5 linked regions of the Macaca fascicularis genome follow. The protein of the gene in region 1 purifies or fractionates together with the protein of each later gene. This does not show direct contact. Links are inferred from orthologs where the notes say so. Each region holds a gene or a part of one and is shown in the gene's direction. Other genes may lie near its edges.

Region 1 (4,207 bases):
CTGGCAGATCATTTGAGGTCAGGAGTTCGACACCAGCATGGTCAACATGGTGAAACCCTGTCTCTACTAAAAATACAAAAATTAGCTGGCCGTGGTGGTACACCCCTGTAATCCCAGCTACTCGGGAGGCTGAGGCAAGAGAATCACTTAAACCTGGGAGATGGAAAAATCATTTTCACTAAAAATTATATTTAGCGCCCAGAATGGTGGCTCAAGCCTGTAATCCCGGAACTTCTGGATGCTGATGTGGGAGGGTCGCTTGAGCCTAAGTTCGAGATCAGCCTGGGCAACATGGAGAGATCTCATCTCTACAAATAATTTAAAAATAGCTAGGTGTGGTGGCAAACGTCTGTTGTTCCAGCTGCTCTGGAGGCTAAAGTGGAATCGTTTGAGCCTAGGCAGTCGAGGCTACAGTGAGCCCTTATCACACCAGTGCACTCCAGCCTGGGTGACAGGGCAAGACCCTGTCTTTAAAAAAAAAAAAAAAAAAAAAAAAAACTTTAATGTTATAATCCAACAATTCAATACAAACCTCCTTCAATTTTGATGAAAGCTAAGAATTGGAAACCATTTATATAAAGGTGTCACTTGGTCTCTGGCCCTTCTCCCTTTCAAACTCACAGGCACAGATACTTTTGGGGCTGGATTAGCATTTGCGTTGGGATGCACGGCGGGGAAGGTACAGGATGGGAACCGACAAAAACAGAGCCAAGCTGGTCAGGTCGGTGTCTACCCCAGAATTCGGGGACATTTCTAGATCCTGCAGGAAAGCGCGGGAGGACCTGACTCAAGCTGGCCTGGCCCTGAGCGCAGCTGCGCCCCTGAAGCCTGGCCCTGAGGCCCGAAGACAGCAGCTTTCGGGTTAAAGGGGCCTTGGGAAGAGAAGGGGCAGGAAGGTGGTACCCGTTGCGCATAGGCCAGGCTGCCAGGCCGCGGGGCTCGGTCCCGCGAAAGTAGTAGGTCTTCCGCTAAAGCAGAATTGTACTTTTACTCGACAGCATGGAAAGGCCGCTCAGAACAGCAGCAGCAGAGGAGAAGTCAGCGCAGGTCACAGACAGTTTCACGCTCAGAGACTTGGCCTAGAACTTGGAGGCCCGCTACTCCAGCACGCTCGCCTCCCGGCCACCCACGCCCCCACCACCCGCACTGCGCCGTTATCTGCCTGACTGACATCTTGGTCAGCCAATGATCTTTGGGGCTGCCAAAGCGCCTGCCTCCGAGAGTTGGGCGGGGCGAGTAGTTGCAATGACAAACATTTAACCCAATAACGAGGAGATTTCACACGCTACGGCCGCAATAACCAATGAGAAGAAAGAATCCTTTCGAAAGGACGTGTCAGGCAACCAACGGCCGGTGGCGCTGCAGGGGTCCCGTGGCTTCCGTTCCGAGAGGGCGGGGCGGCGTCCCGAAACGGAAGGTGGTTGTCGTCGGTGCCCAAGCTGGTTTGAAACTAGGGGTCGGGTTCGGTCGTTGTCGTTGTTTGTCGCCGCATCCCCGCTTCCGGGGTAGGCCGTTCCTGCCCGCCCCCGCCCCTCCTCCCTTCGGACCCATAGATCTCAGGCCCGGCTCCCCGCCCGACTCGCACCCCGCCCGCCGCAGCCCACTGTTGACCCGGCCCGTACTGCGGCCCCGCCGCCACCATGTCCCTGCACGGCAAACGGAAGGAGATCTACAAGTATGAAGCGCCCTGGACGGTCTACGCGATGAACTGGAGTGTGCGGCCCGATAAGCGCTTTCGCTTGGCGCTGGGCAGCTTCGTGGAGGAGTACAACAACAAGGTGGGCCGGGCAGGGCCTCGGAACCCAGCTGGCGGGGAGCGGGCCCCGGGAGCGCCCTTTCCGGGCCGGAGCCCAGGCCCCAGAACCCTCCTGCGGACTCGCCTTAGGGCCATGGAGCGGTTCCAATGTCTGGCCCTGTGCTGAAGGTTTCGTACTCGTTGTCTGTCTCATTTAATCCCGGCAGCATTCTTGTGTAGTCGGCAGTGTAGTGGGGAAACTGAGTCACGGTTTTGTGACTTGCCTGTGTCAGGCAGCTATTTCGTGGTGGAAACAGGTCTTAAAACCGGGTTTACGCCCCAAAGATACTCCATTTATTCCTCCCGTGCTCTCCACTCCTGCCGCATTTTTTTCGTTGGTGGGCGGGGAAGGGAAGAGGGAGTGGTAGTTGTGAAGGAAAATGCAGACGCTTCTATTCGCGGTCGTGCACTCTTGGCCACACTAGATTTCTATTAAGACGATCTGTTGTACAAGCTTCCCCGCCCCCTACTCCCACACCCCGGGTGTGGATCCTAGCCCTTCTGCCAGAATTACTGTTGCTCTTGCTTCCTGATAACCATTCTCTCTAAAGCAATCTCTTTGGAAATCTTGGCCTGTGGCATGATCCCGCGGTTGTTTCCTGAACACAGGATGACAGGGCCTTATCTTTTGGCTTGTTTCATGCTAGTACAGTTGTGTGACCTTTAGTAATAGATCTTGCTGGACATTCATCAATTTGAGAATCCTTTATAGAAGCACGGTGTCGTAGGGGAGCTTTTAAACTGGCATTGCAACATAAACTCATCTTTGAAAGCTGAATAAGTCAGTTGGAAGCATTTTCTTTGCTTTCTTCCTTTTACTCAATTAAAGTTGAATGATAGCGATCAGAGCAACTGAAAGCTGTGGCTAGTGATATTTAAAGCCACTACTGCCTTATGCCATGAGCATCAGATTTAAGAAGAGTAAAACTGGCTGGGCGCGGTGATTCACGCCTGTAATCCCAGCACTTTGGGAGGCCGAGGCAGGCAGATTACCTGAGCTCAGGAGTTTGCGACCAGGCTGGGTAACAAGGTGAAACGCTGTCTACTAAAATACAAAAAAAAAAAAAAAAAAAGAAGAAGAAGAAAACTGTTCAGTGACAAGGCTCATGCAGGGGGGAAAAAGCCAGGTGGTCTAGGAGTGGGTCCTGTCTGATTATTGACTAGCTGTGAGGTGTTGCACAGGCCTGTTTTATTATCTGTGACCCACAGTTTGCTGTAGGGAAGGGGTTCTGGTTTACATGTGAGGGTCTTGTAAAAAAGAAATTTGAATATTTTACAGTTTGTTTACAGTTTTTCAGGAGCACGTTTCTCTAGAGTAGGTCTTCTTTGGAGTCCTCTTTGAGAAGCTGATGAAAGCGATGAATTTTCATTGTCCAGACATTACACATACGTGAACATATTTACAAACAAATCCAAGCAATATGCACTGATCTTTAAGTTCACCCATTTCCCGGGCGAAATAGAGCTGTATTTCCTTTCCTCTGATGCTTCTTTCTTCCTTGTGGCCCATTGTGGACAGCTGAACTGGGAATGGGATTCAAGATTCTGATGTGGACACCGTGTTAGTAAAATTAAGACCACTAGAACTATTGTTTAAGGATACACGTGGAAAATAAAAAAGTATGTCTTTCAAAGAGCTTAAGCTTAATTTTTCACACAAATTAATGTTTTTTTCCTGTGTGTTTTTCCAGTGTCACGGGGTAAACAATAGTTACTCCTATTCTCCAGAGAGGAGAAACTGAGCCACAGTTAGGCTGCTGGTAGAATCAATGGAGTAGTCAAACTGCTGTTGCAGGAACTCTACCCCAGTTTGTCCTTTCTTTTAGCAACTCTCTGGAGCTTCCTCTTTGTTCCAGGCACACAGGTAGCATGGCTTAGCAGTGAAATGCAAACTAATAACCCCACTATCAACAGCGTAAGCAGTTAGCTATATCTTAACTCACATGATGTAGGCAATGTGCTGTCTTAAAATCATTTTTGTGCCTCCACCTGTCAGTAGGTCAGGGTTCTTAAATTCTGTGTGCTATGATCATCTGATACCAATAGACCCCTTCTCATAGTTATGTTTTCAAATGCATAGAACACGTAGAATTACAAAAGAAACCACTTACGTTGCACTACAGATATAAACATGTTTTTAGAAGTGGTGATGTAGTCATATGTACTTTTAATAAATATATTGATTTACACCATCCAGTGTAATTATTAATGTAATTTTGAAGTGGTGACAAGGGTAAACAGCATTTCAAGATGCTTAACTGCACCGTGGTGGGAAAAAATATTTCTCTTGCTGGTGAAGTCACAGATACTTATGCCACTGTGAGCACCTAACCCATTTGTAATTGAAGGAAATAAAACATATTTAGCTAGAGGTGAATGGAAATATGGGCATGATTTTCCAATTCAAGTTCA
Region 2 (4,184 bases), on another chromosome or scaffold:
GTTTAATTGGCTCACAGTTCCACAGGCGATACAGGAAGCATGGCTGGGGAAGCCTCGGGAAGCTTACAATCAAGGTGGAAGGTGAAGGGGAAGCCGGAAAGTCCTACAAGGCTGGAGGAGGAGGAAGAGACAGAGTAGGGAGGTGCCACACACTTTTAAACAACTAGGTCTCATGAGAACTCACTCACTATCACAAGAACAGCAATGGGGACGTTCGCCCCCTTGATCAAATCACCTCCCACCAGGCCACACCTCCAACACTGGGGATTATAATTCCACATCATATTTGGGCAGGGACACAAATCCAAACCATATCACTGGCATTTACATTTTTGCAAAAAAAGATTTTTTTTTTTTTTGAGACAGGACCTCACTCTGTTGCCCAGGCTGGAGTGCAGTGGCATGATCTCAGTTCACTGCAGCCTCAACCTCCCAGGCTCAAGCAGATCCTCCAACCTTAGCCTCCTGAGCAGCTGAGACTACAGGTGCATGCCACCAAGCCGAAGGGATTTATATTGATCTATAAATTTATATATAAATCAGATATATTTATATAAAATGTATACATTTTGCAATCAGTCTGACCTGGGTAGGAATTCTAGCTGTAATATTTACTAGCTCTGTGATCTTGGGAAAATTATTACCCTTTGTGAACTTCAGTTTCCCTTCCATAAAATGGAAACAATACCATTAAAAATCAAATGGTATTGTCTCCATTTTGTAGAAGGAAAACTAAATGTTATTTTAATCGACGATTCATTAATTTTTAAGATTGACCATTAACAGAGATACTCCATGGAAAGCGGATCATACAGAACCTGGCGCATGTAAAGCAGATCACACAGAACCTGGCACACGTGAGCATTTGATGTGTGCTACGCTACCCTTAGTGACGACTTTAATTATCATGCGCATTCCCAGCGCTTCCTATGGTGCCCAACACACAGCGCACGCCCAAAGGCAATTTTGGAGGATGGGGCAGATGCTCTGCCTCGGGGAAAAAAATCCACACACACACACCTGCCCTGATGTTGGTGGCTGGGTCTGGAATATTACGTGGAAATTAAGCTAAGGATGTGTGCCTTCCACATCAAAAGCCGCAAAAATCTAACACCGCGACTACTGAGTCCGATCAGGGAGCACAGACTGGAACAAGCTCCCACGGCTTGGGCCGTCTGCGCGTGCGTGAGCCGGAAACCCGAGGCGCTCCCTGGGCCCGCCCTATCGATCGACCCGATCGGGGATCGTCAGCTTGGTTCTGGTCACAGAAGTTGCTCTTCTCGCGATGCTTCACCTCTGGCGGCGGGGAAAGGGCGGGCTAACTGGAGAGCGAGGAAGAAAGAGACACGGCCGCACGCTGCTTTCCCAGAAGGCTGTGCGTGCTCCTTGCTTCCTCCGCTTTCTTCCGAGTGGTCGCGTGAACGGCTTCCTGCAGCCTGGCCATGGCGCTTCACGTTCCCAAGGCTCCGGGCTTTGCCCAGATGCTCAAGGAGGGAGCCAAAGTAAGGGCTGAAGGAAAGGAATGAGGTGGGAGAGTCAGCATAGGGCTGCGGCGGCCGCGGCGAAGTAGGAGGGCCTACTAACGGGCTGAGCGTGCTGCCCTGGCACAGCGGCCGGGGGAGAGAAGATTCCAGAAAGGGAGGTGATCTTGGAAGGACTCGGCCTTCCAGGTGTCCCGGGGCCTACAGGCACTTCTCTTCTTCCGCGACCGGGAGAAGGCTGAGGGGTGGGCGGCACGATGGACATTGTACACCTTGAAGGTGGACGGACGTGAAGCCGCGCGTGCGTTTTGCCTCCATCCATAAATGGGGCTAAGGCCCGTCACGCTTAAAAGGGGTTGTGAGGGTGAAATTGAATAACGTAGATGAAATTGTCTTGGGAACTGCGACGCCGATTGACACATAGCTCGCGAGTTATAGGATGGGGAAGAAGGAGAACTAGGCGATCCAGAGAAGAGAGTGTGGGAAAAAGGGCCGGGTCGTGGTTGCTTCTTTCCCAGTGAGAAACAGGGCTTTCAGCTTGGTTGACAGAAGCCATGCGTTGTAGCCAGATGAGTTCCAGTCCCAACTTATGTTAGCTGGCTTAGTCTAAAACCTAACTCTCTTGGGTTTTGTTTTCTTGATCTTTAAATTATGGAGATTGGACCAAGAGGGTGGTGTCTTTGAGTTCTGACCCTGTAATCTGCAGGATAAGTGATACAGTGTTGCAGATGACACTGTTTTGTTTAATGGCCGTGTCTTGAACGTTATTTCAGTAGCATAGTTTTAAAACATATCTTACTGCACTGTTGATAAATTTGTCTCTTGTGCTATTCAAATTGCGTTCCTCTGTATGTCCTCCAGATTTTGTTAATTCAAGAAATAGATCAGTGTGGTCGAATTTAAGGTTATGCGAGGTACAGGGAGCATTAACAGTTTAATACAACTAGGTTCATGTTTGTAGAATGCACTCTTCAAATAATGTCATTATAGTAAGTAAATGTCAGGGTTTAATGTAAATGTTGGTGGCATCATCTTTTGAAAATAATATGGGCTGATTTCCTTAAAAAATCAGGCTGAGATATTAGCTTCCAATTTGGGTTTTTTTCACTAATACAGTTTTGGAAAACTCGTGTATCACAAAACATTATTTGTATTTCCAATGCTAGTAGATTTTTACAGAACACTGAGCTATTTCATTCAATAAATAGGTACTGAAGGAACTGCAGTGAAAAACACAAGTCCCACTTCTCGTAGAGTTTATGTGCTTCTAAGGCAGATATAATGATTAAAAGGAGAATTCCAAATAATGATGAAAGAAACCGTACTATAGTAGAGGATGACAGGAGGTTAAAATGTCTCTAAAAGAAGCATCAGGAATAGACAGAACACTTAGATATTTAGGGAAGAACTCTTAGCTCTGTGCTTAGTGAGAGAAGCCCCTGAGCCTGGGCTGTTTCCCCCCACCTCTTATTTAGGTGTACTTAACTAGTACAAAGACCCTGAGGAAGGAATGATTTGAACCTGTTTTTTTTCTTCTTCTTCAAAAAAACCAGAAAACAGGTTATAGGGCTGAAGCTTACCAAAGAAAAGAAAATGGTAAATTTAGAGGAGGAGCTATACAAGGATACACGGGCCAGGATATGTAGGGCCTTGTTTCCCTGAAGAGGGATTTGCATTTTATCCTAAGCAGGATGGGAAACTGTTGAAGGGTTTTTTTTGTTGTTTGTGGGTTTTTTTTTTTTTTTGAGACGAGGTTGCGTTCTGTCGCCCAGGCTGGGATGCAGTGGCGCTCTCTCCACCCTCCGCCTGCCAGGTTCACGCGATTCTCCTGCCTCAGCCTCCAGAGTAGCTGGGATTACAGGCGCACGCCCGGCTAATTTTTTGTGTATTTTTAGTAGAGACAAGGGTTCACTATGTTGGCCAGCCTGGTCTCAAACTCCTGACCTCGTGATCCGCTCGCCTAGGCCTCCCAAAGTGCTGGGATTACAGGCGTGAGCCACCGCGCCCGGCCTTGAAGGTCTTAAGTATGGGAATGATGGGATCTGATCAGATGGTAGTTTCTCACAGAATGGGGAGTGAGGGGAAGAAGGAAGAGTGGAAGCCAGGAGTTCAGACTTAAGTGTTATTGCTGGAATACAGTTCTTATTGCTGAAGATGCTTTTAGAGTAGTGGCTATTGGCAGGGGTAAAATACAAAAAAACTTAGCCTCGTGTGGTGGCGCGCGCCTCTAGTCCCAGCTTCTCAGGAGGCTGAGCCTCCAGAATTGCTTGAACTGGGAGGCCCAGGTTGCAGTGAGCTGAGATCGTGCCACCGCACTCCAGCCTGAGCGATAGAGACTCTCTCTCTCTCAAAAAAATGTAACAGCTATTAACCTTGGTTTTGGATCACAAAATCATGGCTTGTATTGTAAAGCAGTACTGTGTAATAGAACTTTTTGCAGTGTTGGACATATGCTGTATCAGCCTGTCCAATGTGATATTCACAAGCCACATGTAGCTACTGGGCATTTGAACTGTGTGTGGCTCCTGCAATTGAGGAACTGAATTTTTAAATTTTAATTACTTGAAAATTTACTTTAATTGCTTTCACTAGCCCCATGTAGCTGGTGGCTACTGTATTGGGCAGCACAGCTCTAAAGAAATGTTCTCATGCACTGTAGATTAGTGAAATATATCTGAGGACCCAAGTAAACCTCAACTCTAA
Region 3 (4,035 bases), on another chromosome or scaffold:
TGGTGGGGAAAATTCACCAGAGTTCTGTCAACTTGAAAGTGGTGTTCATTTCCTGTCCCCCATTAGGGGTTACCCCGTCCATCTTAAGCAGGATATTCTAGGATCTCTCAGTCTCACAGCTCTGCCCACCAATAACCAGCAGGTGAGCCCCCTCTCCCCAGACCTCTAGATCTGCAAAAGGCTACCTGGAGGCAAGGAAAGCCCAGCTGTGAGTAGTCATTCAATTCTGGTGCTGTGGTAACTGAGTTCAAAAACAATGAGTCTTGTTACCTATCGTGAAATGAAAGACACCTCACCAGACACCTCACTGGGTTGTGAGGCTCCAAGGAGCACACATATTGTTAGGCTCAGTTCGATTCCCTTCAGCCCTCTGCCTGTTTGAAGGCAGTTCCTTATCTTGGAGACAACGTGCAGATGTTCTCTCTCTCTTTCCCTCTTTATTTATTTATGTATTTATCCTTAAGACAGGGTCTCTCTCTGTTGCCCAGGCTGGAGTGCAGTGGCGTGACCACAACTCAAACAGCCTCAACCTCCTGGGCTCAAAACGATCCTCCTGCCTCAGCCTCCAGAGCAGCTGGGACTACAAGCGCGCACCACTGCACAGGAATTATTATTATTATTTTATTATTTTGTAGATAGGGGTGGGAGTGGTCTCGCTATGTTGCTCAGGCTGGTCTCAAACTCATAGCTCAAAAGATCTTCCCGCCTCGGCGTCCCAAAGTGCCGGGATTACAGGCGCCTGCCACCGCGCCCGGACGCAGATATTTTCTATGGGTATCTGGAATGGCGTCCCCAAAGCTTGGCGCAGGGCTGTGGTCAAGCCGGGTGGGGGGCACAGGCCAGCCTTCAACACCGTTGGCACCAATCAGAACAAGCAACCGTCCTCTCAGGGCCGCGACGGCCCCTTTCTGCCAATGGCCAGCCCCTCGCCGGTCCCGAGACCTCGCGAGAGCTCCCATGGCTACGCCTTCCCCGGCCTCGGAACGGCCTCGGAACTGCCCCATCCTTCCTCTTTCCCCGCCTTCCAGCGGCGCTCCACTCTCGGATTGGCTGATTGAGCCGAGTCAGTTTTTTTTTTTTTTTTTTTTTTTTTCCTGGCCAGAAAGCGGTTCGACAATTGGTCCTTCTTTTGGCCCCTCCTGCGAAGCCCGCGGATTGGACTGCTGAGTCTGGCTACACAGGCCTCCGCGGGAGCGCGGCCGGGCCAATCAGGAGCTTGGCGTATTTTACAAACTGAGGAAGTAGCTCCAGCCGTATCCGAGAGAGTCAGGCGAAAAGCGGAGGAAGCTGGGTCGGCCCTGAGGGGCTCTCGGTAAGGTGAGGCACGGGGGTCTTGGAGGGAACGAGGGCTGCTGGGCTCATAGGGACGAGGGCAGTTCGAGGTCCGAGGGCGAAAGAGTAGTTTCGGGGTGTCTGGAGGTAGCACCCATAAGAGCGGTCTTGCAGGCGCCGGGGGCTTGTGGGCGCGTGGATTAGGGCAGAGGTATCAGGGATGGCAGGACAGGTGCCCCGAGAACTGGTTGATCTTTGATCTCCGATTCTACCTGCCTTCTTCCCCGTCTCAACTGTAGCCATCATGACCACCCGGCAAGCCACGAGGGATCCCCTCCTTCGGGGTGTATCTCCTACCCCTAGCAAGATTCCGGTACGCTCTCAGAAACGCACGCCTTTCCCCACTGTTACATCGTGCGCCCTGGACCAGGAGAACCAAGATCCAAGGGTAAGAGCGGCCTAATGGGGGAAGACAGTAGTCACACCAGTAATGCACCCCAACACTAAACCTCACCTTTTTGTCCCCCCTCCCTCCCCTAGAGATGGTTGCAGAAACCACCGCTCAATATTCAACGCCCCCTCGTTGATTCAGCAGGCCCTAGGCCCAAAGCCAAGCACCAGGCAGAGACATCACAAAGATTGGTGGGGATCCCTCAGCCTCGGAACCCCTTGGAGGAGCTCAGGCCTAGCCCTAGGGGTCAAAATGTGGGGCCTGGGCCCCCTGCCCAGACAGGTACCTGTTGGAGCCCTGGTAACACGGCCTCCATGGCCGAGTAGGGAACTAGGAAGGGTAAAAGTGGGGTTTTGGGGTTTTGCACTCACTCCTGCTGTCTCCTGCTTACTGTGATAGTCCTGGTTCCACCTCCTGGAAAGCTCTTTGCTCTTAGAAGATCTCCCTTTCCTCCAGCAAAATGTCATCTCACCAGGCGCCATGGGTTGTACCAGTAATCACAGCTACTCAGGAGGCTAAAGCGGGAGGATCACTGGAGGCCAGGAGTTGGAGACTAGCCTGGATGACAGAGGGAGATCCTATCTCTTTAAAAAAAAAAAAAATAAATAAATAATAAATGTCACTTCTTCTGAAGCCTTTTCCAGTTCCCCATGTCACTTGTTCTCCTAATACTTTGCAGTACTTCTTTTATAACATGTATATACCTTGGCTTGAGTCTGTTACCTGTCTATAGTTTGATGATAGCTTCTTGAGGATAGGGGCTTTGTCTTATTCTTATGGGACCCCAATGCTTAGAATAGTGTCTTATGTAACATTCTATGAACATTTGGTGGGCAGGTGTGGTGGCTCACGCCTGTAATTCCAACACTTTGAGAGGCTGAGGCGGGAGGGTCACTTGAGCTCAGGAGTTTGAGACCAGCCTGGACAACATGGTGAGACCCCATTTCTTTTTAGTTTTTCTTTTTTTTTTTCTTTTCTTTTTTTTTTTTTTTTTTTTTTGGAGATAGAGTCTTACTGTATCCCTCAGGTTGGACGACAGTGGCATGATCTCAACTCACTGCAATATCCACCTCCGAGGTTCAAGCAATTATCATGACTCAGCCTCCCCCAAGTACCTGGGATTACGGACACCTGCCACCACACCTGGCTAATTTTTGTTTGCTTTATTTATTTATTTATTTATTTATATGAGACGGAGTCTCGCTCTGTCACCAGGCTGGAGTGCAGTGGCATGATCTTGGCTCACTGCAGCCTCCACCTCCCAGGTTCAAATGATTCTCCAGCCTTAGCCTCCTGAGTAGCTGGGACTACAGGTGTGTGCCACCATGCCCAGCTAATTTTTTTTTTTTTTTTTTAAGTAGAGATGGGGTTTCACTATGTTGACCAGGCTGGTCTCAAACTCCTGACCTCAGGTGATCTGCCCGTCTCAGCCTCCCAAAGTGCTGGGATTACAGGAGTGAGCTACCATGCCCAGCCAATTTTTGTATTTTTTTAGTAGAGACAGGGTTTTGCCATGTTGGCCAGGTTGGTCTCAAACTCCTGACCACAAGTGATCCACCTGCCTCAGCCTCCCAAAGTGCTGGGATTACAGGTGTGAGCCACCACGCCCAGCCATCTATTGCTTAAAAAAAAAAAAAAAAAAAGCCAAATTCAATTGAATGAGTCTCTTTTGCTCACCTTGTATCTCAAAGTGACTATGCTAGGGTCCCTATCCCCCTCAGCTTTCCCCCTTCCTGTTCCTTCTTACCTTTCCTTCTCTTTCCTTGCAGAGGCTCCAGGGACCATAGAGTTTGTGGCTGACCCTGCAGCCCTGGCCACCATCCTGTCAGGTGAGGGTGTGAAGAGCTGTCACCTGGGGCGCCAGCCTAGTCTTGCTAAGAGAGTACTGGTTCGAGGAAGTCAGGGAGGCACCACCCAGAGGGGCCAGGTAATGAAACAGGATGTGAGGAGACCAGGCTGGGGGCGCTGAGGTGGGCATCCTGAGCTGTGCTGACAGCCTCTGTTGGTGTCCCAGGGTGTTCGGGCCTCTGCATATTTGGCCCCCAGAACTCCCACTCACCGACTGGACCCTGCCAGGGCTTCCTGCTTCTCAAGGCTGGAGGGACCAGGACCTCGAGGCCAGACTTTGTGCCCCCAGAGGCTACAGGCTCTGGTGAGTGCCCTTGAGAGGCCTGATACTTGGTGCTTCTGGGAGCTCCTTCCAGGGACAAAGCTGGCCTTTGGGAGAGGAAGTACCTCATGATGAGGCAAGGGATCCTATTGGGGGAGATGGGGTTGGTGGTGAGGCCTGAGGGTTTAGGGTCCACCTCTGA
Region 4 (4,199 bases), on another chromosome or scaffold:
AGATCCAGCCACTGCACTCCAGCCTGGGCGACAGAGCGAGACTCCGTCTCAAAAAAAAAAAGAATACACAGACATCGGCCCTCCAAACGGTGGTATCATTCCATATCATGTAGCCTTTGGAAAACTCGATGTACAGGTCCTTGGTACTATCATGAAAATAGTTGTAACGACACTTTGAAAACCGCTGGCTTACTAGTAAGCGAAATAAATATACAAAAGTAACTGGAAAGGTTCAAAACAATGAACAAACGCGTTCTTTTAGAGTACAAAAGAGTCAAGGCGGGAAAAAAAACGGTTCGGAGGAAAACTTGGACGACCACACCATTGGGTAAAACGCGAAAGCTTTTGAAAAGCCAGGGAAGCCGGGCTTTCTCCCGGGGGCAGGGAGGCTGGGAAGTGCTCACGGCTGTGAAAGATGACCGCTATTCAACCAGTCCGCACACCGCCCTCAACACCGTTACAGCCATGAGAGACCCACAATCACCGCTGTGGGTTTAACTTTTGGCAAAGACCGGGAAGTCGTTCAAGAAGAACTCCCCCACCGTCCCGACGCTGGCACCGCGCCCCGTGCCCCGCAAGCCGGGGTCCGGCCGCGCCCAGGCTCCTGTCCCGCCCCAGGCGCCCGGCCGCCGCGGAAGCCGGGAAGGACTGGGCGGGCGGGGCCCGAGGGGGCGCGGGTCACAATCCCGGGCCGGACCAGGGGGCCAGCGGGCCGGGGTCGCGGTCCGGGAAGTCCCGCGGGGGCCGAGGAGCTCGGGGCTGGGGCCCCGGCGTCGGCGGGACTCACCAGGTGCCGCGCCACCTCGGAGGAGGCCATGGTCGCGGGGAGGGGCGCGGTGAAGCGGCTGTATCAGCCCGGCCCCGAGCGGCTGGTCCCGACAACGGCGGCGGGAAGGCGGGAGCGCTGCAGTAACGGGCGGGGCGCGAGGCGAAGCGGCTCCGCCACAGGGAAGGGACAGGGGCGGGGCCGAGCTGGAGGCCTCCGGGGACGGTGGACGGGGGGCGGGGTCGGGGCGGACGCCCTGTGGTGCGCGCTGAGCGTTTTGAGTTCGCCAAACGAGCCCCTCGCGGGAGCTGCCCTCGACGACTGAGGACTGAGTGTCAGTGTTGGGGCGGGCTGAAGGAGAGCCGGGACTCCAGGAAGAGGGCGCGAAGAATGCAGGCGGGAACTGCGGAACAGTGATTGCGGCCCACGCGAGGCCGGAAGTGGGCGGGCCCTGAGGCAAGGCCGCCCTAGGTGGGTGTGGCTGATACAGCGGGGAGCGGAAGTGGGCGTGGCCTGTTGTCGTGGGCGCGGGGCGGGGATGCGGGGGGCGTGTCCCCCCGGGCGCGGCCCAGTGAGGCGGTGGCCGAGTTCTCCGGCCTGTGACGCCTAGGCTGGCAGCACGCTGAGCCCGCCAGACTCCGCCGTCGTCGGGAGACGGCCGCTGGGAGCCCGCCGCGATGGGACCGCGCTGAGCCGCCCGCTGGCGGGGGAGCAGCGCGGTCTAGGATGGAGGGGTCGGCAGAGTGGGGCCCCGAGGCGGTGCTGGGCCCCGAGGCGGTGCTGCGCTTCCTGGCGGAGCGCGGGGGCCGGGCCCTCCATGCCGAGCTGGTGCAGCACTTCAGGGGCGCACTGGGCGGCGAACCCGAGCAGCGCGCCCGCGCCCGCGCGCACTTCAAGGAGCTGGTGAACGCCGTGGCCACGGTGCGCGTCGATCCCGCCGACGGCGCCAAGTACGTGCACCTCAAGAAGAGGTTCTGTGAGGGGCCGTCCGAGCCCTCCGGGGACCCGCCGCGAATCCAGGTGACCGCCGAGCCCGAGGCCCCCGACTGCCCGGCCGGGCCCGGGGTGCGCGATCGGCTCCCCGACGCAGCGGCCCCGGAGGCGCTCCCTGGACAGGGCCGCGAGCTGGGCGAGGGAGAGCCCCACGCCGCCGCTCACGGGCCGCCCCTGAGCGCCGGGGCTCGCAGGAAGAACTCGCGGCGCGAAGTGCAGCCCCTGCCCCGGACTCCGGCCCCGGGACCCAGTGAGGACCTGGAACCCCCGCCCCATGGCTGCGAGGAGGCGGACAGGAGCAGCTCCCTTGGGGGGGCCACCGCACAGAGGCCGGCCCGCCAGAACTTCCGCGACCTGGTGATGGGCAGTTCCCCGCAGCTGAAGAGGAGCGTGTGTCCCGGAGGCAGCAGCCCGGGCAGCTCCTCCGGGGGAGGACGCGGCAGAGGCGGTGGCGACTCAGACAGCGCATCGGTGGCCTCGTCGTCCGCGGAGGAGGAGAGCAGCGGCGGAGGCTCAGTGACGCTAGACCCCCTGGAGCACGCCTGGATGCTCTCTGCCTCCGATGGCAAGTGGGACAGCCTGGAGGGCTTGCTCACCTGCGAGCCCGGCCTGCTGGTCAAGCGGGACTTCATTACCGGCTTCACTTGCCTGCATTGGGCCGCCAAGCACGGAAGGCAGGAGCTTCTGGCCATGCTAGTCAACTTCGCCAACAAACACCAGCTGCCGGTGAACATCAACGCCAGGACGAGCGGGGGTTACACCGCCCTGCACTTGGCGGCCATGCACGGGCACGTGGAGGTCGTGAAGCTGCTGGTAGGGGCCTACGACGCCGATGTGGACATCAGGGACTACAGTGGGAAAAAGGCCTCCCAGTACCTGAGTCAGAGCATCGCTGAGGAGATCAAGAACCTGGTGGGAGCCCTGGACGAGGGTGACGGGGAAAGCGCCGCGGGTAGCAGCGGTGGGCGCTGGAGGCTTTCAAAGGTGCTTCCCTCGCATCTCATCACCTACAAACTCTCACACGTCCTAGATGATGGAGGAGACCATCACTACCATCACCATCACCAACATCACCACTTGGCTGAGGGGTGGGTCGGAGGCAAAGCCAAGGATCCAGGGCGCAAAGCCTCTGGCAGCTCTAGTGGACGTATAAAACCCAGACTCAACAAAATCCGCTTCAGAACCCAGATTGTCCACACCACACCCTCTTTCAGGGACCCAGAACAGCCACTGGAGGGTGGCGGGGAGGAGGAAGTGGAGGAGGAACGGTCTGTTAAAGGCCACTCGTCTTCCTTCAGATTGAGACCAAAGTCCAATGTATTTGGGTAAAAATTATTTCTTTTAGAAAATGCTAAGGGTTATTTGTCTTAGGAAATTGAATACTAGGTGTTGTAAGGAAATGAGACCAGAAGGACAAGCTAAATTATGCATTCTTACTTGAGGGACTGGAATGGATGGGGCGGAGTTCCCTTCAGGTTAGCCTTCTGGGGAAAGTGGATTTCTTTTTAAGAGATTCATCATACCTTGACCTGTGCCTCTTTTCTGCCCTCCACTTCCCTGCCCTGGAGCCCATTTCTGGAGACTAGAAATGTATCTAAATTGGGGGAACAGAATGAATGAATGAGAGTTCCTTTGCTTTAACCATTCCTGGATGTCTGCAAAGTAAGGAATAGTGCACTTTTTATGTATCTGATTTTATAAGGGGTTACTCTTTCAAGAGCAACAAAAAAATGCAAATTGTAATGAAACTGGTAGTATTTCTGAGTGTGAAAACGACAGGCTGCCCCATTTTTTACTAATTGCATTTGCATTTTAAGGTACTACTGAAGGTCAGATCAAAGTTGAAATGCAAAAATACTAATTAGGTAATAATGTGAATAAATGGGAATCCTCTTGGTATTTTATGTGTATTGTAAGTAGCAGTTAAATTATTTTTGTAAAAGCAATTTCAGTTTTAATCACTGAACAAAAGAAACAGGCAACATTCACTTCTGTAGTATGGTTTCCAGCTATCTCTAACACCACTATTAAGGTACACCAGTGTTAAGGTACATTAATAACTACACAAAATTTTATTTAAAGAGGGCACTTAGCAGCCTATGATAGTTTTAAATAAAATGTTGCCTCTCCTTCGGATTCTCACTAACTTGTGTTACTATTCTAAAAGTTTGCATTTGCTGGGGTGTTTATTCTGAGGATCATATAACCATTGTTCTACTTGGCATAACCCTGTTTAATGGTGCTTAGAGCTGAATTACCTACAGAAACTGTTTCTGGTTTAAATAATTAGCACAAATTGGCTCATGAGCCCATGTTTCTGTGAAGTAATTATTAAACCAACGTAATGATCCTCACGTAAGGTACACTTTTTATTTTACTACATTGGTAGTCTCTATGACTTGTAGCAATGTTTTATAAATGTTTAAAATGCTAAACTTAA
Region 5 (4,230 bases), on another chromosome or scaffold:
AAGTTAAGAGAAGGGGTAGGAAGTGTAGCATTGATTATGGGGGCAAGGAAGACGGCAGAGTCCAAGATCACAGAGAGAAAGGGGTCGTGATGTGCCACTAACAAAATGTGAAAGAGCTTGCCTTTTTTGGGGGGAGGGGCGGGGAATAGAGGATGGGAATGGAAGATGGAGACCGGAAAGGATAAGAAGTAGTGAGAAAATCACGGGGTTGTTTTTAAGAATGTCATACAGTGTTAGAGATCATTATTTTACACCTTAAAAAGACAGCTTTTCAACTTTTCTAAATCCACGATTTACAGTCGGAAATAAAATTGACATCATGGTCTAGTACACTTGTCCAGTACCTATAATCGAAACAAAAGGTTTATGAAACAATAGTTGCCCTTACTAAGGGCAATGGACTCTAATATTTTCTATTGGATTCCATTTCATTCTTTTTGAAAGCCGGTTGCCTTCTGCTGCATTTATTTTATGATCTATTACTGTATCACGACCCACAGTTTTAAAAACTGTGCCTAAGAGGAGACTCAACAAGTCTTCCTAAGTTGGAGGGGATGGTAGGGCATCCTATCCAAGCATCCGGGAGGCAGCTGGAGAAGCAAACCTGAAGAGGCTCCGGGCTGGGGAGAGTTTGGAGAGTGTTTAGCGAAAGCCCTGATAGGAGAGAGCGCTGTGAAAAGCGAGGACCCAGACAGCTGTGAGCGCCCATTCAGTGATGGAGGGGGGACCCTCGGGACAGTGTAGACGCGAGGAGGCGAAGATCAGGGTGACGTCGAAGCCAGACTCCGGCAGGAACCCAGCGACCACCCCGGGGGCTGCATTTCCGCGGCGTGCACGGTAGGGCTTCGGTGCCTCTGACCTCGCGTAGCTTTCCGAAGCTCCTCCACTCACCCGCCCTCCCCGGGAGCACGGCGCGCGCCCACTCCTTCATTCATTCATTCCACTCCTAACTCCGCGAGCGCCAACCGGCTGTGAGATGGGCGAGCCACTTTGCCAGCCTGGGGCTCTCTTTCGGGTCGGTTCCCTCCCCGCCAGCACACGCGCGCACCCTCGCACCTGGGCACACACACACGCGCGTGCACACACGCACACACACACACAAAGTTCTGGGGGCCCCTCTGCGGACCGGCTCGGCTGCGCTGGGCTCGGAGCCCTGCGCCCGCCGGGTCCAGGCCGGCCCTCTCACCCGCTACCCCGGGCCCGCCCCGCGCCCAGTCCCCCCGCGCTGCGCGGCAGCCCCTCCCGGCGCGGTCCCCTCGGGCCGCCGGCGCGGCTCTGCCCTTCGGCTCGGCCTTCCCCGCCTCGCATCCGTGCCATCGGCGCTCGATTGCGCGCGGACTCCCTGTGGCTCTCCCGGCCCCGCGCCCCGCCCCCGCCCGCCGCCCCCCTCCGCCAGCAACTTTTGCGGAGCCCCCGCGCCCAGCCATGCTGAGCTGAGCCCCGCCGGCCCTGGCCGCGCGCTGCCCCCGGCTCCCGCCCCTCCGCGGACCCGCTCGGGGGCCGCGGCCGCTCGGCGCCTCGGCCTCGGCCGCTCCGCCCGCCCGGCCGCCCCGAGCCCCGAGCCCCGAGCCCCCCGCGCCGGGCCCGGGCGGCAGCGGCGGCGGCGGCGGCGGCGCGCCCGGCCCCCTCCCCCGGCGCCGGCCACGGGAGGCGGTGATGCGGGCGCGGGCGGCCTCGGCTGCGCCGAGAGCGGAGACACAGGCTCAAGATGGCAGATTCCGACTGAGGCTGGGGGGGCCGAGCTCGCGCGCCGCTTTCCCGTCCCCGTTGCCATGAACCGCGGACACCCCGGCCCCGATGGCCCCCGTGTACGAAGGTAAGGGGCGCCCAGCCCCGCCGACCCCGCGCCCGCCGCCCGCCGCGGCCCCCGCAGCTTTGTTCTGCCCGCGGCCCCGCGCCCGCAGCCCCCGGCGCCCGCCCCAGCCCCCACCCGGGGCCGAGGGGGCCGCGACCCCCTCCCTCGCCCGGAAGATGACCGGGACCCGGCGCCGGCAGGGTCCTGCTTCCAGGGCGGGGAGAGGGACCGGGGGCGCAGGAGGGGAGGGGGCGTGTGCGAGGGTGGGCGGCTGCCCGCGGAGGGCAGGGGCGCCGGGGAAGGCGGACCGGTGACTGTGCTTTTTATTTATTTGCGATAAATGAAGGTGATGCGGCTCAGCTTCCACCGCCCCCCCACATTACCTTTCGGAGCACCTCCTTTCCACTTCGCTCTCCGCCCCGCGCCCCTTCCCATTTCTCTCCGCGCCCACCCCACGCTCCTTTATTCTCCGCGAGCCTCCGATTTTGGGGGGGCTGTGGAATCGGAATGCACGGGGCTAGGTGGGGAGAGAGATGAAAAGTCCGTGTCAGAGCCAGGCAGAACAATGAAATAGGCGAAAATCTCCCCGCATTAGCGTGTGGAAGGGGACGTGGACTTTGGGTTTTCCAGCCGGGGGAGCGGCGGATACGTTTTCCTGGCTCGGTCTGGGTCGACCTGTGTTGTGCACCTTCACCTGGCGTCGGGGTATTTTTCCCCATTTGCCTTTAGCAAGAAAGAAAAGAATGCAAGGCAGAAAAGCAGTAGGTCTGCCTCGCACACTGTCTTTCGTTTCTCTTCAGTCCGTTCTGTCAGCTTCCAGCCAGAAAGCAACCCAGAATCAACTAAGTTTTTACACTTCGATGTGTTTTTGTGTGCTTGTAGTAGGAGAAATTTTAAACCCAAGTGTGTCTGATTTTTCAGTCGTTTCATCGTGTAAATGTTTGTCTCATGAAATCATTGAATTCGCAGCCTTCACATACTTTTAGTGTGGGTCCCCCTGGCTTTCTTTCGGTTTTGTTCAGATATTCTGTGGATGAAATCGCAAATGAGAGGGGACAGGGTTTGTGTGGCACAGAGGAGGGCACGAGGGGGGAATGTAATCCGCCTGTAAATCCGGAGAACAGTTGTGGCCAGTGAGACAGGGAAGGCGTTAATAGTTTTATCTCTGTTATAAGAGGCTGATTTAAAAAAAAAAAAAAAAAAACTTATCTGAAAAGAAAATCTGTTATTAGATTCAGGGCTCCAAATGAATTAGGTTTCTGGCCGGAATAAAGTTACCAGTCAGGCCCTGGATAACGAGGCTGTAAATAACCTATGGACTGTAAATATTTTTTTTCAGACTCTCTTAGAAACAAAGGGGCTGTTTAGAAGGCAACAGAGAGATGTTATTCCAGGGGCTTTCCTCTTTGATTCTGAAGAACACAAGGTCCATTTAACCATTCGACAAAACAAAACGAAATTTCTGATCACTCCACCACGCAGAATAGAACATGCCGGTGGACATGTGAACATGCGGGAGAACCCATGTCGGGCGTTCATTGTTCATCTGCGTCTACAGGAGGGGGCTACAGTCAATGCTCCCACTGTCTAGAGTGTTAAAATGAAACAATTTTCTCTTTATTAAGTACCTCCTTGAGACTCCCTCTGCTGGACACTCCTGGTGAGTTGCGAGAAGGAACTTGGCATTGAATTCAGAACTATAGTAAACGGCTGGTTTCCCTGTTACTAGGGACCGGGTATGTGAGTTGGGGTGTATTTTGTCAACTTTGTGGAAAGCCATCTTGGGAACTGCACTGTTCTCCTCCTGCTCCTTTCATTCTAAATCCATGTGGAATGTAGGCCATGCCCCCGAGGCTGAGACTTGGCTCTCCCCATTCCTGCTACATTGTTCTTCCAGTTCCTTACGCCAGATAAAGAATTGCAGGTGTGTAGGGTGTTACGGTTTAAGAATAATCATGGATCTCAAAAGTCTCATGAACTGTTTTTATTTGCCAGCCTTCCTTCCCTTTCTCAGGTGACCTCCGTGGTGGCCTCTTTCAGCCCTCGGTTTCCCTCCATCTTATCCATGTGCCTTCTTCATTCTTCCCGCGCTGTGCACCCTTTTATTCCGGATGTTTCTCTGTGCACCTTTATAATTATTTTTCTAATGTTCTTCCCTATCCCACCTCAACTAACCCACATCACTCTGCCAAAAGCCCAGGCCTGGGTGTTTTTGAAAGAGATTGTTGGATATGCTCTACAACAGGTGACCTCTAGAATCAAGGATTAGGTTGCTAGGACCCGCATTCACTCACTGATGATTGTGCCAAGACTCTGATGACCTCCTTTCTCCCGCCATGGTAACATCCGCTGGGTTCAGGAAACCTGATTTTTCCCCTATCTCAATCAGAACACATGGACTCCCTGTGTGCACGCTAAATGAGCAGAGCTTTTCC

The links. Proteins that work in one complex are often made in the same cells at the same time.
Region 2: the proteins of DCAF7 (region 1) and CCT8 purify together in Homo sapiens (affinity purification with mass spectrometry; 3 studies listed by BioGRID and IntAct, with this or other methods). This does not show direct contact. The link is inferred for Macaca fascicularis from reciprocal best matches to the Homo sapiens genes DCAF7 and CCT8.
Region 3: the proteins of DCAF7 (region 1) and TROAP purify together in Homo sapiens (affinity purification with mass spectrometry; 3 studies listed by BioGRID and IntAct, counting the BioPlex papers as one, with this or other methods). This does not show direct contact. The link is inferred for Macaca fascicularis from reciprocal best matches to the Homo sapiens genes DCAF7 and TROAP.
Region 4: the proteins of DCAF7 (region 1) and SOWAHC purify together in Homo sapiens (affinity purification with mass spectrometry; 4 studies listed by BioGRID and IntAct, counting the BioPlex papers as one, with this or other methods). This does not show direct contact. The link is inferred for Macaca fascicularis from reciprocal best matches to the Homo sapiens genes DCAF7 and SOWAHC.
Region 5: the proteins of DCAF7 (region 1) and HIPK2 purify together in Homo sapiens (affinity purification with western blotting; 3 studies listed by BioGRID and IntAct, with this or other methods). This does not show direct contact. The link is inferred for Macaca fascicularis from reciprocal best matches to the Homo sapiens genes DCAF7 and HIPK2.

What each region holds. Positions count from the first base shown.
Region 1 is NC_088390.1:70,058,791-70,062,997, forward strand, and holds the start of DCAF7 (DDB1- and CUL4-associated factor 7), read left to right. Parts: upstream 1-1,407; 5' UTR 1,408-1,640; coding exon 1,641-1,778; exon of another isoform or gene 1,779-1,903; coding exon of another isoform or gene 1,904-1,924; intron 1,925-4,207. UniProt on the Homo sapiens protein: Involved in craniofacial development. Acts upstream of the EDN1 pathway and is required for formation of the upper jaw equivalent, the palatoquadrate. The activity required for EDN1 pathway function differs between the first and second arches.
Region 2 is NC_088377.1:17,965,950-17,970,133, forward strand, and holds the start of CCT8 (T-complex protein 1 subunit theta), read left to right. Parts: upstream 1-1,384; 5' UTR 1,385-1,442; coding exon 1,443-1,502; exon of another isoform or gene 1,503-1,527; intron 1,528-4,184. UniProt on the Homo sapiens protein: Component of the chaperonin-containing T-complex (TRiC), a molecular chaperone complex that assists the folding of actin, tubulin and other proteins upon ATP hydrolysis.
Region 3 is NC_088385.1:56,144,089-56,148,123, forward strand, and holds the start of TROAP (tastin), read left to right. Parts: upstream 1-1,235; 5' UTR 1,236-1,312; exon of another isoform or gene 1,313-1,317; intron 1,318-1,571; 5' UTR 1,572-1,576; coding exon 1,577-1,720; intron 1,721-1,812; coding exon 1,813-2,005; intron 2,006-2,122; coding exon of another isoform or gene 2,123-2,242; exon of another isoform or gene 2,243-2,356; intron 2,357-3,492; coding exon 3,493-3,650; intron 3,651-3,737; coding exon 3,738-3,875; intron 3,876-4,035. UniProt on the Homo sapiens protein: Could be involved with bystin and trophinin in a cell adhesion molecule complex that mediates an initial attachment of the blastocyst to uterine epithelial cells at the time of the embryo implantation.
Region 4 is NC_088387.1:17,110,188-17,114,386, forward strand, and holds the start of SOWAHC (ankyrin repeat domain-containing protein SOWAHC), read left to right. Parts: upstream 1-1,399; 5' UTR 1,400-1,492; coding exon 1,493-3,088; 3' UTR 3,089-4,199.
Region 5 is NC_088377.1:181,456,948-181,461,177, reverse strand, and holds the start of HIPK2 (homeodomain-interacting protein kinase 2), read left to right. Parts: upstream 1-1,430; 5' UTR 1,431-1,797; coding exon 1,798-1,816; intron 1,817-2,178; exon of another isoform or gene 2,179-2,362; intron 2,363-4,230.